4 linked regions of the Lepisosteus oculatus genome follow. The protein of the gene in region 3 interacts with the protein of the main gene of each other region in a pairwise test. Links are inferred from orthologs where the notes say so. Each region holds a gene or a part of one and is shown on either strand. Other genes may lie near its edges. The genes, in order: suv39h1b, hoxb9a, leucine zipper putative tumor suppressor 2 homolog and nek6.

The links.
Region 1: the proteins of leucine zipper putative tumor suppressor 2 homolog (region 3) and suv39h1b interact in binary tests that used the Homo sapiens proteins (3 or more experiments, as listed by UniProt). The two-hybrid records come from large-scale screens. The link is inferred for Lepisosteus oculatus from reciprocal best matches to the Homo sapiens genes LZTS2 and SUV39H1.
Region 2: the proteins of leucine zipper putative tumor suppressor 2 homolog (region 3) and hoxb9a interact in binary tests that used the Homo sapiens proteins (3 or more experiments, as listed by UniProt). The two-hybrid records come from large-scale screens. The link is inferred for Lepisosteus oculatus from reciprocal best matches to the Homo sapiens genes LZTS2 and HOXB9.
Region 4: the proteins of leucine zipper putative tumor suppressor 2 homolog (region 3) and nek6 interact in binary tests that used the Homo sapiens proteins (3 or more experiments, as listed by UniProt). The two-hybrid records come from large-scale screens. The link is inferred for Lepisosteus oculatus from reciprocal best matches to the Homo sapiens genes LZTS2 and NEK6.

Annotation. Positions count from the first base shown.
Region 1 is NC_090697.1:77,485,837-77,493,737, forward strand, and holds the start of suv39h1b (histone-lysine N-methyltransferase SUV39H1), read right to left. Parts: upstream 3,104-7,901; 5' UTR 2,790-3,103; coding exon 2,771-2,789; intron 1,213-2,770; coding exon 1,067-1,212; intron 1-1,066. Other genes in the region: NACHT, LRR and PYD domains-containing protein 3-like, read left to right, coding at 6,274-6,379, 7,384-7,431. UniProt on the Homo sapiens protein: Histone methyltransferase that specifically trimethylates 'Lys-9' of histone H3 using monomethylated H3 'Lys-9' as substrate. Also weakly methylates histone H1 (in vitro).
Region 2 is NC_090723.1:9,345,616-9,353,823, forward strand, and holds the start of hoxb9a (homeobox protein Hox-B9a), read right to left. Parts: upstream 3,293-8,208; 5' UTR 3,180-3,292; intron 3-3,179; 5' UTR 1-2. Other genes in the region: hoxb10a (homeobox protein Hox-B10a), read right to left, coding at 4,927-5,201, 7,279-8,062. UniProt on the Homo sapiens protein: Sequence-specific transcription factor which is part of a developmental regulatory system that provides cells with specific positional identities on the anterior-posterior axis.
Region 3 is NC_090699.1:45,525,251-45,533,006, forward strand, and holds the start of leucine zipper putative tumor suppressor 2 homolog, read left to right. Parts: upstream 1-4,630; 5' UTR 4,631-4,976; intron 4,977-6,550; 5' UTR 6,551-6,936; intron 6,937-7,756. UniProt on the Homo sapiens protein: Negative regulator of katanin-mediated microtubule severing and release from the centrosome. Required for central spindle formation and the completion of cytokinesis.
Region 4 is NC_090719.1:13,837,620-13,845,478, forward strand, and holds the start of nek6 (serine/threonine-protein kinase Nek6), read right to left. Parts: upstream 3,309-7,859; 5' UTR 3,213-3,308; coding exon 3,211-3,212; intron 1-3,210. UniProt on the Homo sapiens protein: Protein kinase which plays an important role in mitotic cell cycle progression. Required for chromosome segregation at metaphase-anaphase transition, robust mitotic spindle formation and cytokinesis.

The sequences.
Region 1 (7,901 bases), on a different chromosome or scaffold from region 3:
ACAGAAACTGACCCCAGAGCCAGACAGGGCCCGACTAAGGGAAAAACTACACACGTGTTCCTACAAACACACACTGCACATAACATCGGCCACTGTCACTAAGGGCACATACTTGGAGCTCTGAGCGAGTTCTGAATGCATTTCTCAATGTGCTTCAGAGCAGGCAGATGGTGGCATGTCAAAATTTTTTTTTTTTGCTCATTTCAAAGTTGTCCATCAGGATCTTAACATACACGTGGTGGAAAACAGGCCAAAGGATTAAACTTGATGTGTCATTGTTACCAACATGTAGACGTGGCATAAAAACGAAGGCAGTATTAACTGGTCCTCACAGTGTTCGCCTTATTTTATTGGGGTTTGTTTCCCCCCCCCAATCGGTCGCAATCACAGATCAGTGCATCCGCTCACAATTTATAAACGAGCTCATCGTCAAGAAATTAAACTGCGGGGAGAGCATGTCTGTCCTGTTCCTGGGTGACTAAAATAAAAATAAAACGGCACCAATGAGACCACAGTGCTGTTCCTGTTTAAAGGATCTAACAGGCTGTCCCCACTGGACACCATCACCAGCGCCTGCGCAAACAGCCCCCCCACTCCCACCCAATTCCCTGCTCCCGCTCTGCTTCCAGAGGCTGGGTTTGGCTCCCTGTCAGCTGCCGGGACACATGGGCCCGGAATCCGCTGCCCAGTTAAATCTGGAGTGGAGCGGGAACAGTACACCAAATATTCTTTGGAAACAAAATGCACAAAAAAAGCCAAAACAAATGACAGCTGTTAAGACATAAATGACAGTCTGCTCGACGGCCCCACCCTCAGAGAAAGGCGTGCAGCTGCTCCCGTCCGGGCCTCGAGCCCAGAGCGGTTCTGAGGGCTGAGCAGCGGACAGCCGAGAGCCAACTCCGGCCGCTGGGACGGCAGTGTCAGGAGGCAGGAGGGAGAGACCGTGCACACGTCCGTGCCAGCGCAGCAAGGGCTGGAGAGGGTCATGACCCCGACCCGCCAGCGCCCAGGGCAGAGACAGACCACCGCCAGCCAGGCCTCACCACCCCCCTGCGCGGGCACTCACCTTCGTTTTCCTGTAGTCGCACAGGTACTCCACCTCGAAGTCATTGAGGTTCTTCTTGGTGATGCCCAGCTCCTTGCAGGCCACCCTCTCTAGCCGGCACAGGGTCTGCAGCTGGCTCCACGAGGACTTGCACGCCACGCGGCACCCTGCGCACGAGCAAGGACAGCGGGTCAGCCCCCGGGCACCACACGCGCCCCTCCAGCTCGTCACGCCCTCCCCCGGGCGCCCCAAGACCACCGCCCTCTGCGCTGTGCCCTTCACAGCTGGCAGGACGTCTGAACGAGTGCAGAGCGATTTTCCACAAACCTGCGGAAGGAACACTCGGGGACTAATCAGCTGCCGGACTCCAGACGGTGATGCTCTGTAGGTGCAAACTCACCTTCATCAGAAACACAATTTAGACTCCTCACCGTGTGGTACTGTAGACACAGGGGTGATCTGCTCGCTAGAGTTATAGTTTAGGTTGTGAGAAATACTCGGAAAGATTAGTCAGAGCTTCCTTAAAGCCCCCTGAAACTCGGACTGTGTCTGCAGCCGAGGCAACCTTCCCTAGCAACCAAGACAGCACTGAGCTTTTATTCTGGGGGATAAAACAAGGGCTTCAAATCAGGAGAGCCGAGTCTGAGCCTTTCCCTGCCACACAACAACTCTGGGAAGATAATTTCTCCTGCCTGCACGACTCGAGCACCTTCGATCAACCACTGCGCTTATTTTCTCATTGCCAGCGCAGACACGGCGGCCCTGAGCATCAACAGAGAAGCCAAATCCAGGCATAAGTAGCACTGACCTGCGCCCCTGCGTCACCCACATCACGGTCACCGACTGGCCTCACCGCACCCGACGCCAAGGAAGCACCGGGGCCGAATCGCACACACCAGTATCTCATGCTTAGCAACACTGATGATCACGGACAACCAAGCTTATTTTTCCATTTTAAAAAGTGAGAGAGAACCTGAACACTCTACCACGCAATGTGGCGGTGTGCTTTACCCCGCTGAATATTTTATTCAGGAATGTCAGAAACTGCTGTTAGACTCAAGAGCAACCGAAGGTCTCAGCTGCCTTATCCCGCTCTGTTATGCGGCGGACAGCGGTGGGGTCCGGGCACGGTGAGGGATACGTGTGCCCCCTGTGCTGCAGCCAGTCAGCTGGGGCTCTTGTCGCCAGGAGCGGGGAGACGTTTCCTAACAGACCCCACCGGCGCCCGCGGCTTCACGGGCGACACCGAGCCCCGAGAGCTGCCGCACGACACAGCCCTCTGCTGCGGTCGGAGGCGCCACGGACCGGCCGAGCGCCGCGCACCCCCGTGTGGTCCCACAGCCCGGGGAGAGAGGCGAGGACGCGCGTCGGAGCCACCGGGACCGTCTCCGGACCGCAGACGGCCATCTGCAGAGCTCCTGCCCGGGCAACCGACTGCTCCCCCCACCGCGATGGGGGACCCGGGGAGGGGGGGCACCCCGCACGGCAGGCTGCCGGGGGTGGGGGGGTTCCCGGAAGGGCCCCGGGGTCCCCCGGCTCGCGCCCCTCCGGCCGGGGGTTTAAACGGATCCCCCCTGCCCCCCCCCAGAGCGAGCGCAGCGCCGCCCGGCCGCCCCTCCCGACAGGACCCGCCGGGTACACGGCCCGGCCCGGAGAGCCCCCGCCGAGCGGCGGCGAGCATCCGCCGCCTTTTTCGCGCAGGGGGCGACGCGAAAACTTTCTTACCTTTCAAATTTTCCGCCATCTTCTTCCCCGCCGCCAAAAATCTGCCTGCTTAGGCAGGGGCAGGGGGCGCACACGGCGGACGGCTCTCCGACTGGCTACAGCGCTCCACAAATGACACCCGGCGCAGCCAATGAGCGCCACCACTCCCCCCCCTAGGCACGTCCAGAGAGGGGCAAAAGCGATAGCGGACCGGAGCGATTGGAAAGCGAGTCTTTTGACTGAGCCGCGTCTTTTGACTGAGACCGCAGGCAGCGCTCGCTCACCAGTCACGCCGCCGAGCGCCCTCGCGAGCCGCCCTCCTATTGGCCAGGCCCGCAGAGGCGGGAGATCGCCGCTGCGCCGGGGTTAACGGTCAGGGATTTAAGCACACCGCCCCCAGCGATTGGCCGGCGCGGGCGTGAGTGGCGTCCACATCGAGCAATCGCCGTCAGGCGGGGGGAGGGGACAGGGCGGCGAGCGAGCGCCGTGATTGGCCAGGGGCACGCATGCCCAGGGACGGGGATCGCGCTGAGTTGTGGGTCTGGTGGTTGGTTTCAAATCAGCAGCGCGCTTCCGGTTTTATGGAAAGAATGTTACTGAGCTGCGCCGAGTCGTGTTTATCAATTGTCATACAAGGCTCGCTAATGTTTCTATTTTTAACCATTTGGGATGCCCTACGGTGTCTGTCAGTTAGACCGCATAGCGTAAATAATGGCTTTTTACTTAACTAGGTATTCTCTTACATTTGCCATTTATCATTGGAAGATTAATGTGAGCGAAAACCAATACCTCCAGCTCGACACATATTCTGTGTGCTCACATATCTCATCACTTTTCACCGTTAATAAAACTTCTGTCCTGCACCGTCAGTGACACCTCTGTGTGTCCGGAGCCGATTTCCTGTGTGAGTTTCGTGTTGGCGTTGGCCGCAAAGCACTGAAAGCAGTAAAGGTTTCGGTTTCCTTAAACGTGTGTGAGATACACGTAGCGTTGGTCACCCCGCTCAGTTTACCAAACACATACCTAATAGGAATCAAAGAGATTGTTTCAGTTTTATGTGGGTTGTTTCAAAGTCGTGTCACGGATTGGGTGACTCCTATAGGATTTACTTTTGCTTTGTAGACGACTATGCCACCTAACAATTCTAAAGGGTGCTAAGACCCTTCTCCTGCCACAAGTCCTGCTCGTCTCCCAGAATCCCCAGCGAATACACACAGACCAGCAACAGGCACTTCATTTCCTAGTGATCACAACAACTCTCACAGCACATTGTACAAAACCATAGCGTGATGGGGGTGGGAGGAGGCAGACCAGAGGCAAGCACACAATTTACACCTCAGTCACCCAACAAAAGTCCCCAGACACTGCAGTCCAGCTGTTCTGTCCTCTGTGTAGTTCCTTCGGTGATTCTCAGGCATCGTCTCCGGTCCTGGCAGTCCAGAACAACACGGCTCCCTCGTGCTCTCTCCCCACCTCGATTTCTCCGAGTCCAGGAGAAATTTAATAGTGTTTTTAATAGTGACGGCAGCCATAGTGCACCAGTGCTCTCACCTCACCCCAGCTCTCAGTGGGGAGGAGAGCAGAGTGATGAAGCCAGTTCGGAGATGGGGCTTATTAGGAGGCCATGATTGGGAAAGGCTAGGAGGGAATTTGTCCAGGACACTGGGGTAACAGCCCTACCCATTTCGAGAAACCCCCTCGGTTTAGTGTATTTATGCATCATTTTGCAGCTTTACCAGGTGGGATGCCATAGGAAGGATGTGAAGGATGGCCACTGCTGCAGCTGCAGTCCTGCTCGGGGTCACACGAGTCCGGACACCTCCAGACAGCGGATCAGTCGGGCGGAGGCCCAGGAAGTGGATCACAAGAAGAGCATCGTCGCCTTCAGTGAGACCTCTTGAAATCTTTCATAAAGTCTGCTACACGTGCCAACCACTTCCTGCACTAGGCAGAGATAAGCACTGGTGCTGAACCTCCAAAGCAAAACAGTTTCGATTCGCACCATCGCTGGCTCAGCCCAGCAGAAGGTAAGCGAAGTCTTGTTTTGTCCTCTTTTAGTTGCTTTTGCAGGTGGATTCCAAGTAGCTTGTTTTTCTAACCTCTGTAGAAGCCTTTCGCAGCCTCGTTCCCTTGCTGACAGAGGGGTATGGCGTGTGCCTGGCTGACTGGTGGCACGGCCAGGGGCCAGGGGCCAGGGGCCAGGCTGAGGCTGGATGTGTCTGATGTGTGAAACAGTCAGAAACAGCATCGCAGGCGCGAGGAAGACAGACAACAACCAGGAGCACTGCGCACAGCTGAGGTGAGACCGATCTACTTACAAGCTTTACCAAGAAACACAGCGACCTCTTTTGCCTCAGGGTATCAGATTTTTTTTAAATCATTTTCTTCTACAGGCTTGGTTCTACATTTTCAGAAAATGGAATCAATTGCCGGTTTTGTCTGTCTACAATTCTTGTGTCTGTGATGGTTAATGGGTAAAAATGTGGTCATATCCCCAAAGGAGAGTAATCATTTTGATCAATAGATGATTTTAGGGCAGCACAGTGGTGCAGTGGTGAGCATTGCAGCCTTGCAGTGCTGTGGCCCTGATTTTAATTCTGGGCTTGCATTGCTGTTGGTGTGGAGTTTGTATGTTCTCCCCCAGCCCATGTTCTTGTGGGTTTCCTCCAGGTGCTCCGGTTTCCTCCCACAGCCCAGAGACATACGGGTGGGTTAATTGGCTTCTGGGAAACCTGGCCCTGGTGTGAGTGCTCTGCTACGGACTGGCATCCTGTCCAGGATGTACCCAGCCCAGTGGCCGTTGGTGGGATAGGATTGCTGGGAGAGACTCTGGCTCCCCCTCAACCCTGAATTGGAAGAAGAGATTAGAAAGTGGACGAATTATTGAAAATCTAACATGCATGAAAAAGTTTCACATTGTCATTTACTTTCAACACATTCGCCTCACAGGAAACATCAAGATAAAATGTAGGTGTTGACACATTATTTTTCTTTTGCTACATACTGCATTTTGCTACAGAAATCCTAGCAGAAATGCCAATCTCTTCTGTATAAATATTCCTGCAATTATATTTTGTATTCTATTTTTTTTTCATTATTTTTTTGAAACATTTATATCAGGAATACAAATCATTTTCATTTATTGGGTGAAGTGACAGACAATCAATGTTCTGTCAGTATTTCTGCAGCACCGTGGAAAAGTTTGTAGCAGTACATTTGTCATATTCTTGTAGAAGAAGTAATTTAATTGCTTTTATTTTAATTACTTTTCAGCGGCGGGATTTTGACCCTCTGTGTTTGCTTGACAGATGCAGAGGAGTCTGATGTTTTAAACAGAAGGCCTGGACTCTCTCACGCTGGATAGAGGGCTGGTTGTGTTTAAGCTCCTGTCTCACCACCTCGCCGATCTCACTACAGAAGACTTCAAGCGCTTCAGACATGAGCTGCGTTACAGCAAGCAGGATGAGCACAGGATCTCCTGGTTGGAGCTGGAAAATGCTGACCGCACTGACACAGCTCACCTCATGGCCGAGCGTTTCAGCTCCCAGGCCGTGGAGGTGGCGCTGGATGTCCTGAAGTCCATCAACTGCGCCTCCACAGCACACAGCCTGCGGACAGAATGGGAGAAGGGTGAGCCCTGTCAGGGTGGTCTTCACAGGAGGGGCCTGCGAACCTGCTGCGGTCAGCTGGCCCGGCTTGTTTCAGCTCCTCAGCCAGAGAGAAACCTTCTCACTGGCTCTGTCCTACAAGGACTTTGACTGAGAGATTGATTAAACCGAGCAACAGCTGTTCAAAGCACAACATGTCCTGCACAAGTAGGAACCCAGTATTAGCATTGCTGTTTTTTTCATTATTATCAGGAGCCAACATTGTCATTTTAGGTTTATCTGAAAAAGGAATAAGGGGATATTTTTTAAATTAAAAGACTTGAAACGAATCCTTTTTAGGACAAATGGAAAAATAATTCCAAAATCAGACACCACCAATGCTGCCTCCTCTCACTATTTCCTGGAAATTGAGTCACTAACAGCTACTGATGAATAACAAAAAAGTAGCTTCAAAACCGCGTGTCTTTCCTCCTCTAGTCTTGTGAGAGAATGAGAGAGAGGGGTTTCTTTGGAGCTGTGGTTTGCCAATCAGGCTCAGTGCTGAATGACTTTCTATCACTAACTCAGAAGAGTCGGTATCAACGGGAACCTGACAGTGGTGAAACATAAGCAGCTTTTCTGCTGGTTTCACATGTGAGTGCACACTGAGAGCACGAGGTCAGCACCCCTGTCTCTGATCCCTGCTCTCGCTGTGAACAAGGGGTCTCAGCTCCCTCCCGCAGGCAGAGACAGCCCCAGATCAAGCTGCTGTTTTAATACCGGCGGGGTGTAGCTGTTCCGGGCTTCACGCCTTTTTGAATACACGAGTCAGAGGGAAAACAGATGTTAATATAGTTCCAGACTTATAATGTGTTTGTATAACCCACTGTTGTTTCCGTATTAATATGATGCTCAGCAGGACTTATTTTCCTCTCCCGTATTTATTTCCTCTGTGATTAATCCTTCAGTCATGTAAATACTGCTTTGAGAATTTTAAGGTGTCAAACTGCTGCATATCTTACTAATAATTCTGAATTTGTTCCCCAGTTACAGGTTATGATGCAGGACACTCCCCTCCAAAAAGAAGGTTGATAGGTAGGTGTTTTGGCACTGATTGTGAAGATTTGGTTAACTTAAATAGTAGATTATATGCACCATGGTGGTGCTCTCCCTCTCGTGCCACTAGTGCAGAGCATGCTCAACCGATGATTGATCTGTGAAATAAGAAGCTGATTCAGGGGGGTCACATTGAAGTAGAATACGATAATAATGATTCCTCACATGCATGCAGTGATTTCCATCCCAAACATTTCCACAGCTCTCTGCATGTAGGTGGGGACCCAACCAAAACCTGGGGGTCAGAGCGCAGGGTGCTCCTGGAGCAGCTGGGGTGAAGGGCCTTGCTCAGGGGCCCAACGGAGTAGGATTCCTCCACCGGCCGCGGGATATGAACCGGCAACCTTCAAACCACAGGGTCAAGTCCTTTGCCGCTCTCAGTGGGGAGGAGAACAGAGTAGTGGAGCCAGTTCAGAGATGGGGATTATCAGGAGGCCATGACTGGTAAA
Region 2 (8,208 bases), on a different chromosome or scaffold from region 3:
TTCTTAGAACATAAGACATCATGTTGAATTATTTCGTATCGCCGACGTCATCTGACACAAAAATGCTACTTGCTTTAATTTAAAAAAATATCACATGGCCCGTGTTTTATCTCCCCTCCCCACCAAATCTATTTCCCAGAATTTCCCCTTAATATTTCTGACTATAAATAAAAAAAAATCAAAGCTCCACCTTCCAGATCGATACCCGAGGGATCAGACCAGAGCTGTGGTTTGTGATGGGCTGTTCGATTTTACAAATTAAAGTATCACGCGAATTACAGTCTTAAGACAATTCGGTACGACATATGTATGCTGGAATATCTATACTCTCCTGATATCTAGATCTAGACGCGTGTACTCAAGCATGTGGTTTTGATAACGATTATTAAAAAGGTATGTTTATTGAGAAGAACCATCGCTATTCATATTGCACATTGTCTGACTTGGGTGGAGTAAAGCCTTTAAACTTTTTCGGTGTTATTTAAGCGAGTTAGGATTTGAGCCTGCTACTGAAACACCAACGTGACAGCGGCGAATTCTTCTGAAAAACAGTCCCTGAATTCGTATTCTTTAAATTTGTAAGAACATGAAAAACAATTAGCAGCGACACACAACATCTTGTAGTAGTAATAATAAAAATAATTCCAGACGCTCCAAACTTCGAAAACGCAGGAATATCATTAAGATATTTAATAAATAGAGTTGCTATTATTATGTGCGAATACGCCTTACTGCAGATTTGTAGACCCTGGGAATATATAACAGTATAACTGTCGTGCCCCACCATTTAAACATGAGTTTCATTTCCATATGACAAACGCAGCACCGAAATAATAACAATTATAAGCGTTTCTCAGCAATAAGGGGTAATATCACACCCAGAAAACACGAAAAACTAATTATTTTAACAATAATGTTGCTTCGTATTTTGAATAGTTCACGCTTCCTTTGTACCGGCTGGGAAAGCGGGGTGGAGCGCTGCACACAAATATTCTTGTGTTGTCGCTCGTCTGTTGGGAGAATCTCGCAGAAGAAACCACCTCAGCGAGGCACTAAAAATCGGCACAGCGCTGAAAATCGACACAGTGCCATATCGTTCATAAAATTCCGCGAATCCTGATGTGTAAGAAGTAAAACTAGGGTAAGACGCAATACATTATATTATATATTGTTATATATAAATTATTCTATATATTATATGTTATTTTATATATTGTTCTATATAATATAATATATATATATAATATATTTCATTAACGCAGGGTTAATTCCAGCACAAAAATGAGGCACGGAAAACATTGTGTCTTTTCTGAATCGGATCCGAAGATATTTAAACTCAGTGGCCCTTTTTTTTGTCTACATTTTTGTCCTGTACATGTAAGGCTCTCATTAAACGAAAAATTGTATTTTTTCCCCAAGTAAATAAATATGGACATTTTCGGAATGCTGCTGTGTTGTTCTTTTCCTGAATTGAATTATTCCATTATTACACCATGAAACCATAACCATTCTTTAAAGCAATATATGTTTCCCATCGCGTCTGTATTGTACCAGCCTGCGTACCTTTCAAAACGCATGTGAATAATTCAACTGAAAGCGGATTGTCCTGTTCTGAACAAGAAAATCACGGTTTTATTTTTTTAGAGTATCCACAAGCCGAGAGAGAGTTTTTTTTTCCCCTCAGGCTGAAGGCAAAGGGAATCTGTCGTAAAGTCCCCAGGCATCTCATAACTAGTTACAAAAAAAATAAAGTTTTTGTTGAAAATTATAGCAGGATTGATAAACCCAAAAGCGTAAATGCAGGCCAGTTAATTTTGAGAATAGCGCTGGCTGCAGATACAAGGCGAGAGGCTGTATGTTACAGGACGTAGCTTTCAGAGTTTTAAAGTCTGAAAAAATTTGGGAAAGTGACACACGAACCTGTGGACACCGGCTCCACTTTTTACAGTATTCACAAATCATTTTGTCGGTTTTCATTTAAAAGCCGTCACACCCGAAGAAGGGTTTTTCCTTACAAAATCAATAAATTTCTAGATGGCAAGATTCTTGTTCTCCAATACCGTTATCGTGGGTTTTTTTTTTCTCAGAAGGTTCGGCGTTAAATAACTGGAGTAATTCAGGCAGTTTCAGGTTCCTGTGATTATAAACTTGCAGCCCAACAACATGAAACTACCTAAATCACACAGCAGTTCGGCTCTCCTCGGGTTCAAAGGCGAAGATTAGCATAAAATCAGACTCTCGGAAAAGGCCATTGGGCTAGCTGGGAAAGTGACGTCACATGCACCCTGAGGCGTCATCCGGAGAGAAACGGTTGCTAAGATACTTTGAAGCGCAGTCAAATCCTTCTGAATTAAGCCGCCTCTCTGTATATAATGTAATTTGTAAGATGGTAAACACGGCTCAGACTGGACTCTCACATTTTGTTCTTAGTCACATTGGTACAGAATGCGAAATCTGGCAAGAGCTACGGTTCTTCGATTCACTGCAATTATGCCCAGGGACTGAACTATAGTGTAGTCGTTAAATTATAGGAGGCAACGTTACAGGGCGACGGTAGAAATAGCGAGATAATTTCTCCAAGGAAAATAAACCTAATTATACCGAGTCATCCCTCCCACAGCTAAAGAGTCTGTTTCTCTCAATTCAGATTCTTCAGTCTGAGACTCTCATCCTGTCTTAAAATGGTGCGTTTTCAACATGGCGGGCGCGCACAGCTATTCCATTATTGCTCATCCAAACAAAAGGCGAACAGCTGTCAATCACAGGCGTGCGAGCCCAGATAGCCAGTTAACACTTATAACCCAGCGTAAAATACAAACCTAGTCTGACATTAAAAACGAAAGGGCACAGAATTCGTTTTCGCCGATGCTAACGTTTACCAACCAAATATAGAAATTTTGCAAAATACATTCAAGAGGCCTGGAGTTCGCCAAAAGGATAGGCTGGTGGTTTGAACGGCCCACAGTTAAACACACAGACGAAAGAGTCCAAGAAAGCAGAAGAGAACGAAATATCTTTAAACATAAACCCGAGGCCTTCAGACGATAATTCAACTTCCCTGGGGTGATTCACCTGAAAAAATGCTTTCTCTTCTCTACCCTTCAAATGATTTAAATTCGTTATTCTCGGCAAACACACACACACACACACGGAGATACATAGATAATACAGAACCCAACTGAATTATCCATCGCCTGGCGCCGGACAGGCTCCACACCTCCCTTGAATTCAGCGTCTTGCCTCGTCTCCGCGCAAGAGTCGTCTTAGTGCGACGGTAAGGCTATATAAACGCACGTCGGAGGAAATTCAATAAACTTTACCCTTGCTTTTGAACTTCGAACAATTTAAATTGCGCATCACGGGGTTAAGGCTGCTCGTCGAATTCGAGCTATAAAAACAAGGGGCTGGACAAACACTCACTTAGCAGCGCCTCCGCACTACATTTTTAACAAACACTTTATTTTGCAGAAGTACAATAAACCGACGCACATGTCTTTGGTTTTACAGCTTTTAAAATAAGTACACGTCATTGTATTTTATTCCGTTGTATTCTCGTTTATTATTTCTTAGGTTTCTGCTCAACTCTCTTGTTCCTAACTCGTATACCCCCCCCCACTCGCAAACTAATTCACCTCGAAGAAACATTTACAGCTACCCTTTAAAAAAAAAACTCCAGAGGATAAAATTACGCGATCATCTTCTGGAAACACACAAAGAAGACGCATATAAATACAATCGCATATAACGAACACAACGGCCGGGACAGTTTAATACTAAACAAGCTATTTGTGTTGCCTCTGGTTCCCATTTTTAACATCCTGCTCTGCACATGAGTTTTCATTTCTGGACAATTTTCAACGCGGACTCAAGACTCTCGAAGCGCCAGATACAGCAGTATAAAGCAGCGATTCGCCCAGCGCTAAAGCAGAAATCGCAATTTCCTAATTCCAACCTCTTGAGAAACAGAAGGGACTTCACAGAGGCGAAAAGACGACTCCAGTACGAGATATTTTTCGTTGAGGAAGAAAACAAGACATTTCACACGCCTGCCGTTATGGGAGCAGTCTCTATATTAGTCAACCACAGAACACAATTAAACGAATGAAAATAACCACCCATATACAGAATCAAAACTGCGAGCTCCTTTTCATTTTAAAAACTTTTTTTTGTACAGAATATACGAAATAACCATAAACATTAAAATACATTCATGCTTTCTTTTTTTTTTAAACATTAAAAGTTCGTGTTGACGCGAAACCCGTTAGGGACAGCTTGCTTAGAGCAAGAAAACTGTTAGTCCGAGCAGCTCCAAACCAAAAACAGGTTTCGTTGCAAAAAAAAAAATTGTAGTCAAGTCCGTTGTGTGCTTGTATTTGTAACACTCTTTAACTTAGCGTCCCGGGGGGAAATTAAGATGCTTTTCCTAAATATGCAAAGACAGGGTAAACAACATAAAGAAATACAACATCAAACCGCAATGCAGCTTTTTTATATAAAAGAAAACGTCTTTGGTTGTAAATTCCCTACACACATTTCCTGTAAACAGGAGAGAGGAAGAAGACCTGCACAACCAGTCGCATCGTTTATGCGGAGGCCAAAGAGGGGAAGAGGAGAAATCGAAGGAGTAAACTAATGAAACGAAACACATTTACATCACATTTTCACCATTTATAAGACCGTTTAAATAAACTATAAGGTGCTTCCGTGGTCCAAGGTTAAGTTATACTGGAGGCCGTGTTTAGTGACCTCTGGAACGTAGAACTTTAAGATAATAAGAAAACGTGTCTCCATGCAAGTGTCTGGTCTTCTGAGTCTCTGGATGGTCTCTAGTCCGGTCTCTCCAGGCCTGCGGCGCCGCTTCAGAGTCTGGGAGGAGATGCGTCCCGGATCTGACTGTCCCCGAGACCCCGAAACCCCCCCGGTGCGTCACAGGGAGAAGTGTGCAGTCACGTCTCGAGCCCTGTGGTCTCGGGTCATTTTTTTCAGTTTCATCCGCCGGTTCTGGAACCAGATCTTGACCTGGCGGTCAGTGAGGTTGACGCTGCGGCTGATCTCTAGGCGGCGCTCTCGGGTCAGGTACATGTTGAAGAGGAACTCCTTCTCCAGCTCCAGGGTCTGGTGTTTGGTGTACGGGCAGCGCTTTTTCCTTCCGGCTTTCGCGGTCAGCCAGCCGGTAGCGGCACTTTCAGCCTTTGAGTCTTCTGCCAAGTGAGAAATAAGACTTTTTTATTCACTTTTTAATTAAAAAAATGTTTTCTCTGTTGCGCGTCCTATATAGAGTGTACGCACATAGACAACACCTTCAACGTTTGACCCTTTACATTAAGTAAGCCGTCACTGAAAAGCAACTATACGATTCAAGGATCGAAATACCGGCATACAGCAGACATTCAAAAGCACACCACTGGTGACCCTGGGTCTCCTGATGGCTGATGAAGATTCCTGTTGTTGTACTGCCCCGCTACTGCAATGTAAAGCCATCCCAGCGAAAATAAACGAAAAAAAAATGCAAAACATAAAACAAATGTTTTGCACCTGATCGTCCAGGTGACAGTTACTGTCCTAGCACGATAAATTCTCGTTAGTTTCCTCGTTTAAAATGAACAGTTCCCAAAGGATGTACAGTACAGTGTGAGAGCGGGGGAGAAAGTGTGTTTGTGAATTCAATCATAAAAGTGATGTATCTAGTTCTTTTCAGAGGGCCATCTAACGATTAAACCGCGAATACGTGGACGATTTTTAGGATTGAGGATTTGAGATTAATTGAATAATATTTGTGGCATCCGCTGCACGATTTTCTTCCAGGAGTGCCGGAATCTTTCATCTGACGAGTTTCCGCAATCTCTTCTCCGCTGTGTGAAAAAATGCTTTTTGCTAACAAAATAAATCTACAATTATGCAAGTTCCCGTTTTCCTCCAGAAACGAGGATACTAGTGTTCGACCTGATACTAAATTTCGACGTTAAACGAAATACATTAGTAGGCCTAATCCATAACTTGCAATTTGAATCAGTGAAAAATTCTGAAAACTACATGCGATACATTTTACAATTTGAATTTATCATCTGACGCATTATCTTTATCTGGGCAGCTAGCAGACAATTATTTTAATGTACAGGAGCAATGTGGGCATATACAAAATTATGATAAAATAAATGACTATGAAGACAAACGAGATGTTCAATTTCAAAGACACTATTGTGTGTATTACATTGGGTTTATCACATGAATACCTTTGTTTGTTACTACTGGATTTCTTCAAATTTGTATTATTGGGGGGAAAAATAATAGAGTATTATTATATATTAATATATTATAGGTTTTCTCACGGTGTTCTAGATTTATAATGGGTTATTTCTACTTTATTGTATTATTTTTTTACTATTAGTTTTGTTAATATGACTTGTACTCGAAATGTTTGGTTTTTTCTTCTCAAACTAAAAATAAAAAAGCGCAAAATTTCAATCCTGAGGAAAGATTTTGGTGTCTGTTGATATTTTTTTGTCTGCCGTTGGCTCTCCGAAAAGCCGAGCTTTGACGTCGAACAGAGCCATAGCGCCGTTGTCGTACTGTTGCCCCTTAACGACAAAACTCCCTGTTACAGACACGGTGCAAAGGCAACAGTTTTAACCTACTGGGTGGCTTTTAAAAGATGGTTACTGAGTGGTTACGTCTGCTCCAAAGATTTCAAGTTAAGCCGGAATCCAGTGTGTGCACGGGGGGCTCGCGCTGATTAAATTCTTGCACCAAACCCCCCCGGAAAATCAAATCATTTATAATTTGTTGTAGGAGATTTTGCACTGCAATACGAAAACGTTTTTTTTATTTTATAGAATGCACACGGCCGTAAAATGAACGTTTGGGATTGGGTTTACTCTAGAGGATTTAATTCATCCTGTAGATCGAGCAGATCTGGTAAAAAAAAAAACGCTCCCCGCATGCTGTTAGTTTTCATTTAAGGGGATATGGCTTTCTCTATAGATCTGGGCTAATTGCTCACCTATAGCCTGCTATACTCTCCCAGTTCACAAAAGAAGCCTTCCGTTGTTTTTGATGTTATAAAGAGCACAGTAAATAGTGCAATTCAGTCTGGCGCTGGGGCTTCGGTGCAATAAATTAATTTTGTAAGCAGGCGTCCTTTTTTTGTTGTTCTGGCGCCCCTTCCTTTACAGCCTTTAGAAAATCACCTTTTTTCCCTCTCAGCCGAGAGGGAACCCTGTTTTCCTGTCGTTATCATCAACGACGCCGTTTCATCTCGTTTCTACTGTATCTACCCACCTTGCGCGTCCTGTCCAGGAGTTTTATCGCCTGCAGGAAATTCCGAGAGGGGTTTGTCCTGTAGCAGTCCCGGAGCTACGTCTGCCTTGCAGTTGTTGTTGTTGTGGTGGTTGTGGTTGATGACGATGATGCCGTGGCTGCTGCCCTTCTGTGGCGGACAGAGGGGGCTGCCAGGTGTCACATCACCGCTCGGGGTCTTCTTGTCCGATTCCGTGCAGTGCTGCTCGGGAAAGCCCAGGTCATACAGCTGCTGAGAGTCCGAGTGGGACGAGGAGGGGTGGGCGCCCGGAGGCAGGTCCGGGGCGCTGTAATCGAGGAGTTTCAGCCCCGTGTAGGACTGCTCCGGACGGAAGTAACCCTGGATGGGCCCGGCAGCGCTGCTCATCGAGCCCATCTCCGACACGAGTCTGGTGAAGGCGGAAACATCTGGCAGCGGTTTAGGGTGCTTGGCCGTTTCGAGGAAGAAGTAGGAGGAATCGTCCTTTCCAATGGACGCGCCGTAGGGACAAGCGCTCACCTGCTGGGCTCGCTCGGGGCTCGGGTGCTCTCCCCAGTGCGCCAGCCCCGGGTGAAACTGGTGCGAGGGGAAACCCACTGTCGGCTGCGACGGCTGGCGGTGGTGCGGATTCATTTTCCCGACTTTGTCCGGACTTGACACCGAAGCCCAGGGATCCTGGGCGGAACCGTCGAGCTGATAGATGGCGCAGGGAGACTCCCCGTGACCGCCGCTTATTAAAGAGTTAACAGAAAAAGCGTTGCAAGGGGATCTTTCAGAGCATGACATTGCTAGGGCATATTTTGGCGAAGGCGAAGGGGGTCCCTGTCAATTGGCGTTTCAAATAGAAAAGCGTTTCAGGGCTACTTCCTGTGCGGGGGCCAATCAGAGAGCCAGCTGTCCGTCCCGACTCCTCCCATGCGGTGCTGCTTCTC
Region 3 (7,756 bases):
GCAGCATCCACCTGGATGATGTGACGCAGCCATAGTGCGCCAGAATGCTCACCACACATCAGCTATCAGTGGGGAGGAGAGCAGAGTAATGAAGCCAATTCACAGAGGGGGATTGTTAGGAGGCCATGATTGATAAAGGCCAATGGGGAAATTTGGCCAGGATGCCAGGGTTACACCCCTACTCTTTTCAAGAAACACCCTGGGATTTTTAATGACCACAGAGAGTCAGGACCTCGGTTTTACATCTCATCCGAAGGACGGCGCCTGTTTACAGTATAGTGTCCCCATCTGGCCCCCCTAGCACCTCTTCCAGCAGCAACCTTAGTTTTTCCCAGGAGGTCTCCCATCCAGGTACTGACCAGGCTCACACCTGCTTAGCTTCAGTGGGCTGCTAGTTGTGAGTTGCAGGGTGATATGGCTGCTGGCAGTAACTTTTCCGTAACAGAGTGCGCTGGTCATCTCCACAATCTGTGTGCTGGAGGAAAGCAGATGTGGTCCATATCTCTCCTGTGCTGGTACAGCCATAGAAGTCACCTGGACTGTAAAACTGGTGATTTTTTATTGTTTGTGTGTAAAATGTTAAAATAATTTATGTTGATTCCAAAATTAAGAAAGAAAAACTCCTGGGGACCCAAAACCGGGCTCTCAAAGGAACAGCACTGGGTGAGAATTATAGTTATTACCTCTGGCTGTGCAGCCTAGGCTTTACAGCTCTGGTGTGAATTGTGCACAACGGCTCATATGCAAATTCAATTTTCCAACTGTGTGTTATTAATATTAGCAATAATAAAATCACACTTGAAAAACAAGCTCTCAAATGAAGCGTGAAAATTGCTCTAAAGGGGGCAATGTTTCAGGACGTGAAATGTATGACATTCAGAATGAGGGTCATGGAGAGTTCAGCTGCGAAGGGGTTTAAGATTTAGACTGGTGTGGAGCTCAACACACTCAGCTGCTTCATAGGTGGTGTTAAAGGAGACATTACACCTGTGTAACTTTTTGAAACTGAAGTGTGGTTTAACATAACACAGAAAGTTGCGTGCTTTGTCTTAGCTTCTAACAAGGCTTGTTTGTCATTTCTAAGTTTTTCCCAAACTGTATAGACCACCAAAAGCGTTATCTACACATAACAGCAATCTGAAAATAAACAGCCTTTACATGAAGCCAGCTTTTTGTTTCAACAACTGGTCTCACAGTGCTGAATGAGGCGGAACGCAGTGTGTGGTTTGTGTGAAATCTGGGACAAGGGTTCTCACGAACATTCTGCAGAGGGAAATGTATTTGTTCTAGAAAAACTATCTGGAGTCACAAGGTGATATTCCAAACACTGCACCTCTCGGTCACCCTAAGAAATCAAGTTTGTTATTCCTCTTATTTAATTGCCAAGCACCCATCTCCATTTGCCCTGCTGAAGATATCACATAATAATGGACGTTTAAATAAAATCAGCCTGCCCTTCTGTTTATAGCAATGCTGAATAATGGCGAGACACCTATTCCCATCGGGAGTTTAACGATCGAAGACTGGCATGATCTTCATTATGCAGATCTTTTTCTTGTACATGAAGCTTCTAAAATTCTCTATAATGGATTTTAGACTCTCCAATTATTTTTGTTTTATGAGATTTAATTGCATTAAATGACCTAGACATGCCAGGAGATAGTTAATGACCAATCAGTCAGGATCTAAGTTTAATCTCTTCCAGAACACAGCATTCTCTTCATCACAGTGCTCATGGTCATCTTACATTGGTTTGCATACCCTGGTCCAGAAGGCATAGCACCACCTACTGGTCCACCTACTGGTCCACTAACACAGCTTATTATGGCAACCTAGTGCACCTGACTCTCCCAGCACTAACCAGGCACAGCCTTTCTGAAGTTCTGACATCTGGCGCAATCAGTATAGACCAAAGGCAGCCAACTTTGGCACCTGGCTTCCAAGTCATTCCAGGACTTTGAAGCTTTCAATACATCTAGTGCTGAAATGATTCTCAATTGCTTAATGACCCAGGTGCCGCCAATCAGTTTGAAAATAATAATAATAATAATAATAATAATAATAATAATAATAATAATAATAATAATTGCTTACACTAATATAGCGCTTTTCTGGACACTCCACTCAAAGCGCTTTACAGGTAATGGGGACTCCCCTCCACCACCACCAATGTGCAGCCCCACCTGGATGATGTGACGGCAGCCATAGTGCGCCACAACGCTCACCACACATCAGCTATCAGTGGGGAGGAGAACAGAGTCATGAAGCCAATTCATAGAGGTGGATAACTAGGAGGCATGATTGGTAAGGGCCAATGGGAAATTTGGCCAGGACGCCAGGGTTACACCCCTACTCTTTTCGAGAAACACCCTGGGATTTTTAAAAATGACCACAGAGAGTCAGGATCTCGGTTTTACGTCTCATCCGAAGGACAGCGCCTGTTTAAAATGATGGAATAGCTGGAGCACAGACCTACAGTGGCATGCAATCCAGATGCCAAGGTTGACTGCCACTGGGCTAGATGGCACTGATGCCACCGTCAGCCTGCTTTATCTGCCTAATCAAGGGCGACAACCCCTACACCAGCATGGGGCAAATAAGCAGAGACGGGCTCCTTCACCCAGCCCTTTGTGCACTGCCACGTGGGGAATTCTGCCCACAGCTGGGTAGTAACATGACCCGCCTTCGAACCCAGAGAGTCTTGGTGGTTGAAAATGTTATTGGTAAATGACAATAAAACCATGCCGAGGTGCTAAGACTCCCTGCTGCTGTCAATGTAGACTCACAACATCAGAAACCCTCAGGCCAGACGAATAGGCTCTCTGTCAATATAATTTGTTTGTCTCAGGGGTGTGAGAAAGCTGCTCTTCACTTTCCAATGCCAGACCAATCCCCAGGTCTCAGTCCTACCAAGAACTGGCAGCTCAAGTGGTTCAAAGCTCATCATCGCCCAAAGGGATTGGGCTGCAAATACTTACAAAATAAAGTAATGTAATGTGGTTCAAGTATGGAAATGCATGCTACATCCTGTTCAAACCGTCCTTTATATTTTCTGATACTAAACAGGAGCTGCAAATTCCATTAGAAATTCTTTAGAACCTGTAATAGATTGAAAGGTCACCTACAGTCTGAATAATGAATAACCCGGTAGTTACCAATCCTATTAAAGATTAATCATGATTAGTAACAAAACACTTGTCTTTATGTGCAAATGTGTTAGTGATTGACAACCGAGTGTTTATGTCTTGTTTGTTACATGTTTATAAGGTGTCATTTACAAGCCACAAAGCCACAGTGTAAGTAAAAATGCTATGTAGCAGGGTTCCTAATGTTTTTGGCTGATGAGTATAGCAGTTCAAACACTGAGATATTACCACTATGATGTTTTACAGATCATCAGGAGTGGAACTTGTTTTCATGAACAGATATATGACAGTTTGAAGTAAAATGACTTTATTAGCGTCAGCACAGAGGTGTGGTGGTTAGGACTGCTATTCCAACTTTGATTCTTGTTGAGGTACCTTCTATGTGGAGTCTGCATGCTGTCAACATGAGGTTTCTGTGAGTACTTTGGTGAGTTAGGTAGGTTAATGGGTATCTCTAAATTCAGGTGTATCCTTTCCGATTGACATCTACAGTTAATAATACAATGTCCTGTTGTATAATAATAATAATAACAACAACTTTATTAACCCTTTACAATTTCTTGCATTAGGAATTATCTTTTGGCATACCCCAGCTTGCTCTCCATGAGACACAGAGAGAGAGAGAGCCTGGGGTCAGAGCGCAGGGAGGGGAAGGGGTTGGGGTTAAGGGCCTTGCTCAGGAGCCCAACAGGGTAGGATTCCTCTGCCAGCTGCAGGATTTGAACCAGCAACCTTTTGGTCACAGGGGCAGATCCTTAGCCACAGAGCCACTGTATTGATTATTGATTAACTTTATTGATTGTTCCTTTATTTCTTCTTGTGCTTTGTTTCCTGAGCCACAATAGTGTGAGCTTCTTGGCCATGTCATTACTATAAAAGAGTATAAAAGAGTACTTATTCTAAATTATCTGGATAAAGATGATGTTTAATACCACTATTGCTAATAGTTTTCCTCTAATGCTTTAATATACTATAAAAAACAAAATAACATTTATTGAACCGCAATCTTACCCTAAAATACTGGATACCAAAACTTACGTGTTTCCCGATTCTTATTTTCAATAAAATAGCTTTCTCAAAGAGAAACTCGATTTTAGGATAACTGGGATAAGCCGTTTATTATCTACAAAACGTTACTCGTGGGAACAGACCATTCTTAAATGCTTGGTTTATATGCTTTTCTGTGTGTAATCACCCGGAATCGACAGTATGAGCTCGGGTGGGAAAAAAAATGGCTAATTTAAGCATTTCAGCGAAGAATGGGATGAGACTGAAAATACTTTTGCCAAAGTAAACGTGATCTCTCGGGTTTTTCATTCAGATTCATACAGGTACTGTATGAATCTGAATGTACTAAGATGAACAGACGATGTTCAATGCGAGCATTATTTTGTAGTGGGAACAATTTACAGTGTAACAGCTGGCTTCTTCAGGACGCTGAGGTCGGCAGTCCGCACCCCCCTGCGGCCCCCCTCCCCCTGCCCGAGCCCCGGTGTGAGGGAGAGCAGGCCGGCTGTCTCTCCAGCCAGCGGCGGTGCGCAGACCGGTGGGGGCTGGGTCCTGCCGGGAGACGAGCGAAGGCGCTCGTGTTTGCCCGTCAGCTCCACAGGGAAGTGCAGGGCGATGGGAAGTCTGGTGCTGTGAGAGTCTTCGCTCGGACCGCCGCGAGGCTGTTCTGAAACTTGCTGGCAGACCCACAAATTCCGTCACAATAAAACTCAACACCGCGGATTTCGCATGCCTGGGAACTGAACTCTTCCCCTCTCTCTCTACGCTCTTTGCAAAAGTACGGTCTTGGATCTTCGGATGAAGACTTGCGTGTACTAGTTGGTAAGTTTACGGAACCAGTTTGCTTGTTGTTATTTATTTTGATGTAGCTAAATCATTTGATTACAGCTCGGGATTGCCGGTGTACCATACCTGCACTGTTGTCAGGTCTACTTGGAGGCAGAAACTTCGAACTAAACGCTGTTTATCATCACGTTTACTTAAAAGCACCACACCACACAATAACGCATAAGTATATATAGAAACTCTTCAGCGATTTTGCTATTTGCTGTAGTGTTGTTTTCTGAGCAGTGAAAGCACGAACAAAACAACCGGTTTTAGTTTTACAACATCGTGTGAGACTCCAGGCTTCGCAACAGATCGGAACAGCACCGGCGATCGCAATTGCATGTATTGAAATGTGTTATAAGGCTCTTACTAAGGGGCAGATTAAAAATATTGTTGAGGAACTCTCCACACTTTGAAGTGCGTAATTATGTGCTGTCGAGTTCTCGCGTCGGGATGGAAGGAGCCCTTTGATGGTGCGATCAATATCGCAGTACGATGTCTTTATCTTGGGGTTTCGGTGCCGCGGTATGGCTCGGCCGGTATTTTAAAATCCAAATGAAGACAGTGGCGGTGTTTTTGATCAGAGTGAAGTGGGTTGGGTCGCGAGTCGACACCGGCAGAGCGCCGGAGTCAGCGGGGAACCGGCTGGTCACCGTGCGGCAGAGCGGCGCTCTCCGTGGGTGTCACGGTGCGCGCTTAACATCCCCCGGTAATGTTTAGCCCCCTCCTTCCGCAACTGAGCTTGTAACGATCGGGAGAAGGAATGTGCAATTAAAATCTTTCATTTGGGATTACTCCCCTAGATGCTTTTAGTAGAGGCTTGAGTAATAGAAAGTTAGGGACTAAAATTAACGTGTTGTATGCAGCTTGCCTATTTCATTGGGTTCCTAATATTGTAAAGACAAAACTACAGCTTACCATGCACATTCATTATGACTGTTCCATTAAAATCCGAGATAACGTTCAGTGTTCAGGTCGCGGTTTTGCGCTTTGAGATCAAGCGCAGTTTAAAATCCGCCCTGTGGTTTCTTCTGCAGTGCCGTCAAATGGCGGTAGAGGGCGATGTCCTGGATCTGTGAGGGGCAGTGAGAATGATTTGTGCCTACTCCGCGTCGTGCAGAAAATCCCTCTGACCTTGAGCCCGGGTGGGACTGTCTTCACTCGCTCTACTGAACAGTTAGGAAATCCACACTGGAAGTCATACAGAGCCCCACCATATTAAAATAAATATCCCCAAACTCGAGCTGTTTTTTTTTGCCCTACATATTTCTGCACCTGTGGTACATCTGCTCCAGCTTTGGGCTCGAGCGTCTGAGTCAGGCCTTATTAAGAACAATGCTTGCTAACAGTGTGGTACTTTTCAAGCTGGGTGCAGGGTTGTCAACTCTCTAACAATGTGGAACAGAATGTTATGACAATGACTTTGAGGTACAAACCTTTACCACAGTAAGGACAGGTTACTAAAATACAAGAAAGAAGACTTTGCTACATTCCACCATCCTTGCCTCTGTGACCTCACACGCAGAAGGGTTAAAGGAACTCAGTCTCTTTAGTTTTGTTTATTATAGGTGTGGACAGAACCGACCCAGATGACTTCTTCAAGCTAAACAGTGACCCAAATGTAGAAGGCCCTTGTTCTAAACACACAGTCTGCCGGACAGAACAAGCTGTCTGCTTTGTTGTTCAAGTTGACTGCTGGCAGCCTTCAGGCAGTAGCTGGACGATGACCTACAGTGCTAAAGCTCACCGGGGTGCCCCTGTGTAGCCCTTCTGCTGGCTTTGTGAGATGGCCTGGCTGCTGAGTGTGTGAAACAGTGGCATGACAGCAGAAGCCCTTGAGTTGCTGGGACGCCTTCAGCCCTGAGACTCCTGGGAGGGCTCTTCACCTCCAGTGCTGAACAGAGCGAACCCTGTGATCACAGACTGGCCAAGGTGTCACTTGGAAAAGGAAAATGTAGGTGTTGTTTGGTGCCTATCGGACAAGGACACAAGAAGCCGGTATCATATTTTATTTATAGCCTTTTTTTTGCAATAGATTAATGAGGCAGTGTAAAGTATTGCCTTAAAGGGGAATGCTCTGTGGTACCAGAGCCCTTGACGGCAGCAAGCTCTTCCCATCTGACTGATTCCACCTGTCAGCTCAGGTTTATCTCTGGCCCACTTAGCATTTAGAGAGGCTGGCCTTTATAAAACCCGAATCTTCAGTCTCCCTACCACAAGCCTCTTATCAGTGGGTTTCAGATGCTGGTTTCATTTAGGGCTGAGCAAAGGGCTGTTATCCTGCAGCTGTGCTACAAAGACAGAGAATAAGTATTCTGTTTCATCCCCTACCTGATCCTGCACGGCACCAAAGGGTATTGTGTCAGGCTGGACAGTGAAATACAAGTTGTTAAAGAACAGTGGGATTCTTGAACATTGCAGGAAATCCTTGGAAAATGACAGCTTAATTCCAAGACTTGGAAACCTAATGAGGAAGGGTGGAATGGAGGAACAAATAAGTTTTGGGTGACAATGTGTTAACAGAATCATGGAGTTGTGGTGCTGTCTGTTGAAAAAGACGTATATTGTTATGATTTATTGAACTGATGACTTTAGGAAGGCATGATCTACCATCTGCATTGTAAAGGCCAGCAGTTTAGTTGCTGTGGTCTTGTGCAGGACTGACGTCCCATAGGCACAGTATAGTGTGCACAGTGACAGTGGAGCAGCAGGGCAGAGTGCGCGGGGAAGCGGGTGATTGCTGGGTGAGCAGAGAGGAGTTCTGAAGGATGTTA
Region 4 (7,859 bases), on a different chromosome or scaffold from region 3:
TCCAGCCTCCACCCTGATTTCACAGACTGTTATTAGGTAGTCTTATTCTATTATTATTATTATTCTTATTCCAGCTCCAGAAAACAGGGTGCGTGGACCCTATACTAAGGGTTTAATGTGCACAGCACCACCAGCACCAGGCTACAGGTTTAGGGGCACGCACCACCATTTTAAGCAAAATGTGTCTTATCTTCTGTAGCAGGCAAAGATACTGCTGCAGTAAGTGGATGAAATCCCTGTTTGTTAGATTTCAGATGCCCTGTGTTTCCGCCCCACAAGATGAGTCACCGCCATACCATACGAGCAGTATTAATAGAAGTAGTATATAGGCCCTCTTCTGCTATCATGCCTGGCTTCTGCTCAAGTGAAAACGTTCGTGCTCCTGCCTCCTGAGAGGACTGAGGCAATCAACTAAAGAGGGAGAGAATCCCCTTCTGAATCACAAGACCTTTCAAGTATTTCAGCGCGTTCATCAATGGATGAAACATTTTCTGAAAAACTAATACACATTCGAGAGACAACAAATTCTGCTTCCTGTTCCTACACACCATGAGACTGAAATGACCTGCCATGCTGCAAACCAGGCACAATGAGAGATTTTGCCCTTGCAACACACTGATCAGTATACCTACTGTACAGTTCATATCAATGGCTTCACCCTGAAAGTTTTTACTGTTTTACATTTTTTTTTATTCAGTTCTGAATTGACCAGTATTTTTGTTGTGCCCTCCCAATTTTGAAGCAGATGGCCGGGGGTTTTTTCGACCCACGGTTTGAAACCCTGTAAGCTGCACCAAGGGGAGAACGGGGAACCGTGGGCTGACTCCTCCAACCTGCCTGCCTTCAAGATGCTAGTTTTGTTTCACACTTCACAGGCAACACGGTCTAGTACTGGAAGTTCAGCACTGATTGGAGGAGAGGTACTGGACGTCCCTCACCACCAGCACCGCCAAACTGCAAGAGCCCAGGAGACAGCAGGGGGCGTTGTGATGCCGAGAGCTGAGGGGGCTCTGACTGAATAAGCCCACCCTAGCCTGTGTAGCACTGTGCCCTTCCACTCAGGGGATCCCAGCTGCAGTCAGCTGCTGACATGGCCCAGTCTCATGGCCCAGTTTCACCTTTCAGCCAGACAGCCGGAGTGCACAAATTAACATAATCAATCAAACTACCACCTGCAAAATGATAACGGACAACCGCTCTAAATATGAACAAAGAAACCGACAAGAAGAAAAAAAAATAATTACACTAAGAAATTAACAGGTTCTTTTTTTGCCTCGCATTATAAGGAACTAAATATGTGGGCTGCTCTGCTTCTGTCTTTTTATTGCCTTGCAGAAAACACGTCTTTTAATGAACTGGAAACTTTTCTTCTTAATTATAGCACTCACCATCAAAGCTAAAATGCACAAATTCTTAGAAGAAGCTTTACATCTGGTACAGGAAATGCCACCTAAGCTTGCTTCGAAATGATGCAAATAGAAGTAAGAGGGTTAAGTGTGACTTTGTGGTTGAAAATCGCCCCACAATAGACTGGTGCTAAATCCAGGGACTGAGACGAGCTACGCTTGACTCATTACAGCTGAAAATAACTCCTAAAAGTATACATAAATCCCCGAGCCACACACTGCTATCCCTGCTTTGTTACAAGATTACTTTTCAAACTATTTTTAGTTTCACATCTATGCATTTGGAAATCCATTACAAACCGCAGCACGGTTTTACAAGATAACAGTTATACAAGATCAGAGCTTGCCACTATTTTATATTTAATGACAGAAGTGAACTCCTTAAATCAAGATACTAGAAATATTTCATTTTAAATACACATGATGTAATCCCCAGTTCATAATAGCAACCCACATTCTCACTTTGAAAACTCACACAGATGAATTGCCAATTTTTATAAACGGTACTGCAGCCAGGCTTGAGTAAATATTTCTTACCCCATTACTTGCAGAAACTCTGAAATGCAGACGTACATTAATGTGCGTATTTTCCGTGAAAAACATTTTATTCACTTTCAATAATTTTAAATACTTGCCCGTTTTTAGTTTTGTTGTGAAAATATGGACATGAGTGGCCAAATGTAAATTAGTACTGTCTCCAGTATGAATCAGGGTTTGGCTCATAAACTAGTGGACACATCCTAACTGTAACTGTACATACATTACATTAGAACATCCAAAAATAATATTAATGTACCCATTATATTATACCAAATGCAATCTGCACTGCTACCTGTTTTCTACCTGACAGGTTACGATATTAAAATATTCCTTCCTTTAAAATGTATTTCAGGCATTGAAACACATCACGCATTTAGAAGTATATATAAATTTTATTTTCGAAATTGACAATTTCATAGAAGCATGATGCGCCTGTTCCTCAATAATAATTTATGTAACTTTTATACCATAGCCCTTACTCTATTGAGATCATTCCCATATCTGGCTTAGTACGCTAGCCCTACATCTTTTATGCGTTTGAAGACAGGAATGCTGAAATAATCAATAGTCTTCAGCGAATTGGGTCAGACAGCAAGAGCTACTGTCCTCATTAACGCCAGCCTCCACAGGAAAAGTTAAAAGAATGGCAGAGTAAAATGACAAGGCCTCGCATAGACACATTGGAAACAAGGCACGTAAATCCTGCATTAGACCTGTCCAATGTGAGGTGAAGCACCTCTTAAAAAAAAACACCTTTGAGCTTGCACACCTGTAGAATCTTTCTACAGTAAAAAAGCAGCACAGGTCGCCCAACCCAGAAATGGCACTTGACACATCGGATTTCATTTAATAATTTCATAATCCTAGTTGAGTGCTGCTCGCAAAAAAGTTCTTCATTAAAGTAAATAACCATAGTTTTTATTAATGCTACGTAGTGTAGAAACAACAGCTTACTATTACAAAATCGGTAAGAACTCATCTGTCGTGTGAGTACAGAAATGTTTATTCTGTGGCTTGATGGTTTCTCGTCAGGTGTGATGCTCTTGCGGATTCAGAAGTCTTAAGTCAAAATCTTACAGCTGATACAGTGCATCCGAACTCTGCTAATGCACAGTACTGCAGGTGTAGCGCTCTTCATGTACAAAAAGGTTTTCCACCACACACACACAAAAAAAAATCCCTTATGATGCAACTGTGTCAGAGGAGCAAGCAGAAAAGGGGAAGAAGTATCTTCAAACAAACCTCTTTTGGTTTGGCTACTTACATGTTTCCTCTGTGTGCTTGACACCGCAGAGATGCTGTCTGCAAGTCTCGACTCCCTGGTAAGGTGTCACCAGATAGCCCAGCTGCAGCTTCTAATCACCCTCTGAAACCTTCAATGACAAGCTTCACTTCCTGTTTCCTCCCCTGCCAGCTTTTTTTTCTCCTTTTTTTTTCCAGGACAGCCTGTGTTACACTCTCTCAGATCAACACAACAGAGTGCCAACAGGCCGGGCCTTGGTACTGACAAATCAGGAGTTTTTTTTTCTTCCATTGTGCATATTCACACCACTTTATCCACACACAATTAGAAAACAGCTCTAACTAAGATTCTAAGATGTCAACTCCACTCACTGAACCATTTGTAATAAGGTACTAGGCAAACTATACAGTACTTATTGCACAGGCCCAGGATTATAATCAATCTGTATTTAATAGTTGTGCTTTAATAATAATAAAAGTGCAGTCACATAAACCCATTTTAATGATGTCCCTTTACTGTTTAATCACAATTCATAAAGAAACTAAGCAACTTCAAATTGTATCTTGTGCTAAAATTCAAATCATCTGTTAATTCATGAATGTAATGATCAAATTAATCTATTAAGGTTAATAAACAACTGTATAGCGCCTTGCAAACGTATTCCGACCTTTGCTCCAGTCTCACAGTCTGCATTAAAGCTTGCAGTCATGACACGTTAAAGTGGCAATTAATATTTTTGTGCAGAGAAAGTACTCCACACATTCAAAGCAAAAAGCAAAGAGTAAATAGAAGTAAACAGATAATACGAAAGGAAAATGGAGAAATAATGATTAAAAAAGTATTCCAATCCTCTGCTAACCTAATTTTATTTATTTATACAATTTTATTGTAAATAAGTGCATCTTACACTCAGCCTTATCTCTGCTGTCAAGCATGGTTGTGTCAGTCTTATGTTAAATTTCTGCTTTTCATCAGCAGGAACTGGGAAGACTGTCAAGACTGATGGGAACATAGATGGAGCAAAGTACTGGCAAATGTTAGGGGAAAACTTGCTTCAGACTTAAACCTGGGACAAAACTTCACTTTTCACCAGGACAATGATCCAAAGCACAAGGCCAATGCAACACTGGAGTTGCTTACAAACAAGAAAGCGAATGTCTTTGAGTAACACAAAGACCTGATTGGAGTCCTATTGAGAAACTGTGGAACTGCTGTCCATAACTGACCACCAAGCGAGAGCAAACCTGCTGAGATGAATGGGCAAATGTTGCACCAATCCAGTGTACAAAGTTTTACCTAAAAGACATGTGGCTGTAGTTGCTACCACTGATGCTTCCACCATTATTGAGCTCACAGATCTGAGTGCTTATTAAATCACCACATTCATTTTTTTTCTCTTTATTTTTATTCTGTCATTTATTGTAATTGAGCTCACCCTTAGAAGTGTTCAGGTTTGAACTATCACAAACTTCACAGATTTGTAGGGCATTGTAGTTACATTTTCGCCTTCCACCTTTAACTTAGCAATCTTTAATATGTCTTTAAAGAGTTCAATAGCTCGTTACTGTGCCTTGAAACCAAATAATCTTTTAAATCATAAGGCTTGGAAAGAAAACATTGACAAGTGATGTCATGAAATAAGTAAAAAAGCATCCAGGGAGTAATGATGACAGCCTTTTCATTTTCAGATTCAGAAAGGCATGAAATAAAACCGATTTGAACGGGGTCAAGCCGCTTGGAACTGTATCAGATTTTTTTTTCTACCACAACTAAGGTTAGTTTGAATCACAGAAGAAAGTGGGAGCTGACTGAGTTTGGAAATCTGGAATATGTTGAGCATGTATTGTTAAGCCAATTACAAGAGATGCAAAAGAATAAGGCTAATTGAAGCTACACAAATAACTGCACTCAACACTGAAGAAAGTCGTACTCTTTAATAAAAACAGTGGGATTTATTTAGTTAGTAATGATTGCAAAATGTTTACCCTAAGCAAGATTACTTTGGATGCAAGCATACTTAGCCACTTAGTTGGACAGAAGTTTAGCTTTTGAAACTCAAATTGCTAAATTACAAGTTAAAAGATAAATATAGACTTGGCTTCCTCTATTGCACAGCTCTTGTTTTTTGTGTTTCATTACGAATGCCCTAGTGTTTTTGTCTATAAAATAGCCTCCAAAATGTTGTTTAGAAAACTTTATGCGTTATATAATTCTGCCGTAGGATTTGTTATACAACAGGCTTTCCGTATCTCAGTAAACTCCCCATTCCAACAGATTTCAGATTTTATGCACAGCAGACTGAGTCCCTGTTTCAGTTTTACAGAAGTTTAATTCTGAAAACCCATTATCTAATTATCTAACTACCCAGTTACAAAATAGTCCGTTCAAGACTTTCTGAGGTTAAGATGCTCTCGTGGCATGATCAGAAAGCCATGAATTTCTGTTTAAAAACATCAGAACATGATGTGTCATATCAAGATGTAAGACTTACAAGAATATATTTAGCTTTCTTTTCACGTCTAAGTACACAGATGCGCTTACAATACACATGTGTGGGAAAGAACTCCAAGTACAGACAAAATCAACAGTGTTGTGCAGGATTTGTACAACCTGTACAAATACAGGTTCAAAGCAAACAACAGCAGACACAGACCCATATAATTAACAGGCCATTATCAAAAGGGTTTCCAAGAAAAAGCACTGTGACGACAGCATTGTTTCCACCATACAAGGTATGACAAACAGTGAAAGTACGCTTGGGGACTTTGGTGTCCTGCACACACACAATTCGGGTTTCTTTACAGCTACGTGTAATGCCGTCACAACACTATAGGCCTCCACCTTAAACAAATCAAGAAATGACTTAAAAGAGAGGCTTGGGCCTCAGTTTATGATCCAGATTAGTAATGCACTTGTACTTGCATGTGCATGTTGGAGAAAATAAAATAGCAAACAGAAAGAACTTTGAAAAAAGCTATTAAAGATCTTTTAAAGGAGAACAAAAGGGAGAAAATAATACTTCGATGGACAGTTATACAAGTTTTCACAACACTACAGTAGCAAAAGGACTGTTAATATTTGAATGCAGTACATAAAAGAATGCTAACACTGAACTTGTTAAAAACATTTTGTGAATGCTACTGGAGAATGCATGAATACCTTTCACATTATTCTGAGTAAGACCTGAACAGAACCTCTTCTGTTACCAGCAGGCCTTCTGTCCTTGTGATAATGTGACCACACGGTGATTATCTGAGGCGTCTTTTTCAAAAGTTTTGATTGGACCTAAAACAATTCACAAACAATATACTGTAAAAAAAATAAAATAATCGACGAATTCAATTTGACTCACCACGTCTGGGAAACCAGGCCTGATATTTGGAAAACTTTCTTTGGATTTTCCGCGTTTCCTTCCTGTGTAAATAAAAAAAAATATCAGGATGAAATCACTATTTAACACTTTCCTGCTTTTGGAACACTACAAATAAACAACAAAGGATACTTATAATATTCAAATATTTGACACCTTCTTATTATTTCACATAATGATACTAAATCCATTCCCTTCCAATGAGGTACTAAAGCACCTCAAGCCTTTATAAATCCAGCCCATACACTGTACCTCTGGGAAGTCCATTCCCAGGCTATTGTTAAAGTAGCATTGAATTATAACAAATAACCTTGACTCCTAGCTTGTGGCTATAATCTTATCAGGCAGCTAGAAACTAAAGACTTGTCTTAAGTGAATCATTAATGTATTCTGCTGACTCTCCCTGTATCTCAGAAGTGGTGTGGAAACCACAGTATGCAAACTAAAGGTCAAGGGTTATCACAGAACAGGCATTAACACACACACCTATCAAGGTAAAAAGGATTAACTGCTCTGACTTTTCTAGATGTGCTTTTAAGGACCAATATCAATAATTTCCTCTTTTACAGGAGCATTGTCTGCTGCTCTTATTTTATGAATTATTTTGGTTCAAAGGATTTTCCACACCAGATGAAAAATGATTAAAACATTTGTATGTTTGCAATTTAAACTCTATGACAGTTACTACAACTGACTTAATTGTTTTGTTTTGTTTTGTTTTACTTTTGGATTGTAACATGTTTAAGCAGGGTGACAGTTGTCTGGGAATATTCCTCTTTTTGTGATACTGGGTCTTTCAAGCTGAATACTAATATAAACATATATGTTCTAGACATATTCTTGTCAAGTAAATGACAAGAAAGATTACTCTAATGAGCTTACCTTGATGTTTTTTTTACATTGATACCATAGTTATATCTTACTGATGTTATGGTTTCTTATAGTACCAACATGTACACCTTGCTTTACAACTGACTGAATGCAATAGAAACACACTTTTTAATTCTTGAAGTAATGAAAACACAAAGCAAGATGAACTACTTAGCTTCACCATGTTTAGCCTCATTTTCTCGTTCTGAGCTCTCATTATGGTATTAGCTTTAAAGGGTTCAAACACATCCACAAATTCAATTTTTAAACTGTGGTAACCAAAATGGAAAACAGTATAAATGCGTAAGACTATATCATTAAAACAAAATGACTGAATATACCTGAACATATTTTAAAAGTTATAAAAAAATGAAAGAAAAATATAAAATTTGTCTAAATTCAGTGGTATCTTGAAACATTCTGGGCCAGA